2 linked regions of the Sus scrofa genome follow. The protein of the gene in region 1 interacts with the protein of each later gene in a biochemical or structural test. Links are inferred from orthologs where the notes say so. Each region holds a gene or a part of one and is shown on either strand. Other genes may lie near its edges.

Region 1 (4,134 bases):
GCGCCCCCTCCCACCTTCCTCCAGACTTTGGCCCCTGAAGGTGGGAAGCAGAATTGGGGAGGGCTGCCCCAGAACCCTGGCACCATCTGGCCTCAAATAGCCTCTCCCCTCCCAGCCTGCTTTCCTGATGTTTCCTCTACCTCACCAGACACGTTATGCAGGAAATATGGTGGGTCAGGCCTAAAAAGGGCCCATAACCAGATGGTTTGGCATTTAATCTGTTCTCACTTTAGTTCTGCTTTCTTAACTCTCTTCCACTTCATCTTCCTTTTCAGGTGACAAATAAGGAAACCATACAGTGGGATGAAGGGGAGGGGTGGGAGCTGGAGGAGGGAAGTGGTTCAGGAGTACAAATATACTTGAGTATTAATCCTCTTCCATGAGTACAGAGTTGTTTTCCAAAGTATCTAGGTGCATAAAATATCGCGGGCATCAGGAGAGGCGGAAGCATAAAAATAGCGTATGTACACACCAGAGTAGTGTGATATTAATAAGCTTCACTCCATGCATCTCTGCTTTCTCACCTTAACTTAGACCATTTTTGTGCAAGAGAGAGTAAGGGCGAGAGACTTAAAGAAGAACAAGAGAAGACTAAAGCATTTGGTATTGATCAACAAGTCCAACTTGAGCAGCTTTCCAGACGCCCCGCTCAGGTCCTGCCCATTCCTTCCAAAAAATGAGTGCTGGGAGGGGCGGCTTGGAGGGGACTCTCTCACAGAGGGGACACACAGATTTTAGAGAGGATGAGAATTTATCTTCCTTTCACTTTTCAGCCTCTCTGTCTCAAACCTTTTCCCCAACCTTCTTACCCCGACCCCTACCGCAACCCACTCACCCACCCCTGCAGATCTAGGGCTCAGGAGGGGAGAAATGTGTAAAAACTACATTTTGGTATCCGTCCGCCTTATTAGGCCAGAGCTGATTCACTGACGTCAACTCCCGAAACCGGCAACATTTCAGTTCAGAGGGAAAGATTGTATCCTGGGGCGGAGCGGGGAACTCCAGAGAGAGGTAAACTTAACATGAGACCCTTTGGTTTTAGTCTGTGTCTCCTCGTCCAGCCCTGTTTTTCCTAAATGCAGACCCCGCCCCCGCCCACCCAGCACACCGAACAGCCCGGGTGGGAGGGGCGGAGCTCGCCGGCAGAGGAAGGAGCGGCACTAAGCAAAGCGCGGTATCACTCCGCTTCCGTGAGGCCGGATCCCCTGAAACTCCTCCTCCGCGGCGCCCGCTGTCGGTTTTGGTTCAGTGGACGTGGCGAGACAAAGTCTGCGGAGGGAAAGGTAGCTGTTAAAGAGTCACTAGGAGCGGGTCGCTGAGGCGTCCTGGGGACGGGAAGAAGAAGGAAATACCCAAACGTGACAGTTCTTTGCAGTTACGGCCCTTCATCTGATAAAGCAGGTATCTCGTCCTGAATCCCAGGTGCAGGGCCCATCCCCAAACATAGTCGCCGCCATTGTCTCGTGTTCTTGCGTCCGTCTGACTGTCTGACCTTCTTTCTTAGGGCTCGGCATCTCTCGAGGCAAGGGAATGAGAAAACTGCTTCTGATCCAAGCAGAGCAGGTCAGTGAGAAGGCAGGCATCGCTTGGGAGTGTGGCTGTGGGTGTTAGAGGTGAATGTGGGAGATGTGACCTGGTCATGGGGTGCGGGCGGTGAGAGGGAGAGAGGGACGAGGGTCATTTGAATGGCATCCAACGATCAGTTAAAATCTACCTCATGCTAGCTTGATCTCCAGACAGTCGCCCCACCTCCGACCATGTTTGGGGAAGGAAAAGAGTGTAGTTAGCGGCTTCTAGTGGAGAAATGGCGGATTATATTAGGAGGAGGAGGGGGCTGCTGCTGTGGGCAAGAGCAGTTGTCTGGGGACCCCTGAGAGGGAAAAGTGTATAAAGAGGTTGTGTTTGATAATCAAGGCCCTGGATTAGAAAAGAGCCTCTTGTCCTGGCTACTAGGCTAACCGTTAATAACCAAGTCTCTCCTGCTGTCTTCTCATTTGGTCCTTTGAGTGTGTATCATGCGTTTATATCTGTAGGTTTCTTGCTACATTTGCGGTACTCTACGTTTCTGTAAAGATCTGTAGGGGTCAGCGAACTTCAAAAGAAAGGGGAAAGGAAAAAGGAATTTGGCCTAATTTCTGTAGAGTGGGCAGTGCTTGGATGGTTAAGACTAGAGCAGATAGGGGTCTTGGGGAAGCTCCAGATCTTCTTTCTGCCAGCTTTCCAAACAGGCCTCCCTTAGTCGCACCGTATTTTCAATGGTAGGCTTTGGGGAGGAGAAAGAAACACAAGAACTTAGATGAAATTTAGAAATAATACTTTTCATTGATTTCTCAGCCAGCTTCCATGGTTTTTCTGAGCATTCTACCCTTACTAACACCACTATCTTGGAGGAATGTCTCAGTTGTCTCTGCAGGGGAATTGTCAGACTTTGAGAATGGAGCAGAGGAGCTTGGAGATTTGGCAGAGGGGAGGAAGAAAAGGAGATAGAAATTTTTGGCAGTCCGGTACCTCTATCCAGAAAGAATCAGTGTCCTAGGTGCTGCTCTCTACCAAGGACTCCCATTGTCTCCTGTGTCTCTTTTTATCTCTACATTTGTGCATCTCTGTGTGTAGATCTATCCTTGGGTGTTTGGAACTCTCAATTGTTATGAAGGTTTATAAATGGTTAACCTGACTTGAAATAATGAAGAAGAGAAATATGTCTTGTATCTCTTTAGATTGTTGTGAGGGGAGAGTGATGGATACTAGAGAACGCTATGTCTTCTGTTTTGGCAGTTTACTAACCCGTTTGGTCCTTTGCTGATTTAGTTGGGAGTCTTCTTAAGTCTTGGGCATATAGAAAGGTAATATCTGCTTTATTACTTCCACTTGGTTTTCCTATTTTTGTGCTTCATCCTAGCCCAGTTCTGAAATAGGCAAGAGCCAGTGCAGTCAATGAAGAGGGAAACGGCCTGAAACAGGGAAGAGGAGCAATCATGAAGCAAGGCAATGTGGGAAGGGACTCGAAGGAGGGAAACGCTAGACAAATACAAACATAGGGACGGGGGATCAAGGTCAGTCTACCAAGAGATCAGTTTCCATATCTTTCTGTTTATTTGTCCATAGATCTGCCTTTAGGTCTGCTCTAGGACGTGTCATCACTGAAAGCAAGGAAAGGAAGGAAGTATTACTCCAGATTAGTGCGGGTTAGTGTGAGTGTGAGACTTCCTCAGTAGACCTGTAGGATGAGGTAGTGGAGATCTGCTTGGGTACAGTAGTGGTAAAGAACCAGAAGAGGGATTCTAAAGTCTCTCTCACTCCCATCCAGCTTTTCCACTCTCCATACTCCTATTTTGTGTCTGGAAAAAAGATCAATTGTACCTGCAATAGTAGGGAGCATAAAATGAAGGGGGAGAGAGTTTGCTAATTATCTACCTTTTCCACTTAGCACTGAATTTCCATGTTTCCCTGTCTCTCTGTGCTATCAACATGAGAAAAAAAAATGGAAAAGACTCAAAGCCCCATTTCCTTCCTCCACCCCTAGGTCCAACTTCAGTGGCAGATCTGGTGGCCTTGGAGTGGCTGAAGACCACCACCCTCCACAGGGCTGCGCTCAGGCACACAGCCATCCTTTCCTTCCCTGAGTGAGCTTCCTCTGCACGTTGTTCATATCATTGGCAGGGCCTATAGTTGGAAAGGGGGCTTGAGTGACAACTGGACTTTGTATGAAAACACCAACCTGGGACAAACCTTCAGTCAAGGCTGAGACGTGGGTGGGGATACATAACTTGGCCTTGCCTTTAACTTGGATCATGACTGGCTTCAAGGCTAAGGAAAGGGCAGAGGAGGGGCTGGGGCTGGCCTGAAAGTTGGAATCAGTGGCCCTGCCAACACTAGAGCCAAGGCTAATATCCAAGCCAAGGCAGTGACTGAGGCAGAACTGAAGACAGGACCAGTGATCCAGACCAAGACGGGATGGAGCAGTGGCCAGGACACAGACAGTGACCTACACTGAGGCCATGGCTATGACCAGGGAAGTGAGCAAGATGGAAGCTAAAACTAAGACTAGAGTCGTGGCTGAGACTAAGTCAAAACCCCTGGTAGAACCTAGTGTAGTGTCCCAAACCAAGTCAAAGACCATGCCTGTGTCCAAGA
Region 2 (2,197 bases), on another chromosome or scaffold:
ACATTCCAGGTAAAAAATCCCCTGGAGCAAAGGCCAGGAGGAGGCAGTGGAGCTTGACCAAGGGGAGAAGGGTGGGCGAGCAGGGAGGCAAGATCCTTAGACCCATAAGGCCCTCATCCTGTCTATCTTTGCTTGTTTCCCTGGCCCAGACGGGGCAGTGGTGTGCATGCTCCAGTTCCCCAGCCCCAGCTGGTATTGGGACACGGTGACCAAGATCTGTGTGTTCCTCTTCGCCTTCGTCGTGCCCATCCTCGTCATCACCGTGTGCTACGGCCTTATGCTGCTGCGGCTGCGCAGCGTGCGCCTGCTGTCAGGTTCCAAGGAGAAGGACCGCAGCCTCCGGCGCATCACGCGCATGGTGCTGGTGGTGGTGGGAGCCTTCGTAGTGTGCTGGGCTCCCATCCACATCTTCGTCATCGTCTGGACGCTGGTGGACATCGACCGCCGTGACCCGCTCGTGGTGGCCGCGCTGCACCTGTGCATCGCGCTCGGCTATGCCAACAGCAGCCTCAACCCCGTGCTCTACGCCTTCCTGGACGAGAACTTCAAGCGCTGCTTCCGCCAGCTCTGCCGCACGCCCTGCAGCCGTCCGGAACCCAGCAGCTTCAGTCGCGCCCGCGAAGCCACTGCCCGCGAACGGGTCACCGCCTGCACCCCGTCTGACGGCCCCGGCGGTGGCGCTGCTGCCTGACCCGGCCGGGCAGGCCCGCCGTGCGCCCCTCCAGAGTAACCCTGTGGCACGCCAAGTTCTCCTGGGGGCGGGGGCCACGACGCGGAAGGGGACAGCTGGATGGGGATGAGGCCCCTTCCGTGGGGTGGACCTTTGGTCTGGGGCTGGCAGGGGGCAGGAAGAAGGTGGGAGTGCTTCTAGGCTGAGCGCAAGGTCAACGGCCTTGGGTTGTGTTGGGGGAGTTAGCGAGCCCAGGGGAACGGGACCTGCCGCTCTAGAACCGGGCGGCTAAACCGGGCCCCTTAGATGGGGGTGGGGTCTCAACCTTGAGAGGGCCATGAGTTCTAATTGAAGCCAGGCTTGTGGGGGCAGCGGGGTCTGGCCTGAGACCGGCCCAGGACCCGGACAGGCAATGATGAGGAAGGTGGAATTGAGGGGGAAGACTGGGTCTCTGCGTGGTGGGGAGGGGCCTCCTTGGGGTGACTGGGAAGGACAGGACAAGAAGCTGCGGCGACAGCTCAACCTTGGGCCATGAGATGGGGCCTCTTTGCGGAGAGGGGCCTCAGCTTGGGGTAGAGTCCCAGCCAGGAGGTCATGACAGAGTCAAGGCCTGCCAAGGTCCAGGCCCAGCTTGACATCTTTATAAAGAGAAAATAATATGGAGAGAAACAATATACTTTCTCTCTCCAGTTTCCCTGGAATGGTAGAGATGCCCAGCATCCAAGGAGTGTCCCCAGCACAGTGTCCCAGTGAGGCTTGGGATGGGGCAGTGGAGCAGGGCCAAAGGCTCCAGGGTGGGGTAGTGGGACAGGGCCTCAGATGGTGTGGGATCCCTAATAGGGAGGAGTAAGGGGGGACCTGTGGGTCCAAAACCCCAAACCAGAACTGCTTGTCTGTCTCTGTGCCAAGGGCTAATAGGGGGCATCTGTTTTGAGGTTAGGTCCTCAAGCTGGAGGGCAGATGCTTTGGGGGGTCCTCATGACCCCATTTTCTCTGGCCTTGGTGCTGGGGGACAGAGGTCCACACTAGTTAGAGCTCCATGAGTGTTGGTGGCCCTGGGACTGGGTGGGGGGATCTGAAGCATTGGAGTGGAATTTTCCTCCTCTCAATCTCTGGCCTCTTGATAAGAACCACCAGGAAGTCCTCTCTCCCTTCTCTAACATCTGGCTGCACCCAGTACATCCAGGGAACTGGAACTGCATCCCACCCCAGGACCTGACTTTGAAGGAATGGGGTGGGGGTGGAGTGGGGGGTGGGGTTTATAAGCAAAATGCCAGCATCAGTGTGTTCTTCCGTCTCTCTCCCGCTCCCCAGGGTCCTCAGGTCCCCCACTTGCTCGAGTGCTGAGGGTGAGGTCCACCAGAGCTAGGCATAGAAGTTTTTCTCTTAGTTTGGCAATTTATTCAACCATTCCCAGATCTTGGCTTCCCCCAGGATCAGGGTCTGGCTTGTTTCCTGTGCCTCTTGTGTGGTTCATCCCCCCCATCCCCCGCCTCTCTCTGTCACACACCCCTGACTCCCTATTGA

What was found.
Region 2: the proteins of GPRASP1 (region 1) and OPRD1 form a complex in vitro, tested with the Homo sapiens proteins (2 studies listed by BioGRID and IntAct). The link is inferred for Sus scrofa from reciprocal best matches to the Homo sapiens genes GPRASP1 and OPRD1.

Annotation. Positions count from the first base shown.
Region 1 is NC_010461.5:83,764,076-83,768,209, forward strand, and holds the start of GPRASP1 (G-protein coupled receptor-associated sorting protein 1), read left to right. Parts: upstream 1-1,401; intron 1,402-1,504; 5' UTR 1,505-1,563; intron 1,564-2,899; 5' UTR 2,900-3,053; intron 3,054-3,523; 5' UTR 3,524-3,623; intron 3,624-3,812; coding exon of another isoform or gene 3,813-3,951; intron 3,952-3,952; coding exon of another isoform or gene 3,953-4,134. UniProt on the Homo sapiens protein: Modulates lysosomal sorting and functional down-regulation of a variety of G-protein coupled receptors. Targets receptors for degradation in lysosomes via its interaction with BECN2.
Region 2 is NC_010448.4:85,823,276-85,825,472, forward strand, and holds part of OPRD1 (delta-type opioid receptor), read left to right. Parts: intron 1-149; coding exon 150-691; 3' UTR 692-2,197. UniProt on the Homo sapiens protein: G-protein coupled receptor that functions as a receptor for endogenous enkephalins and for a subset of other opioids.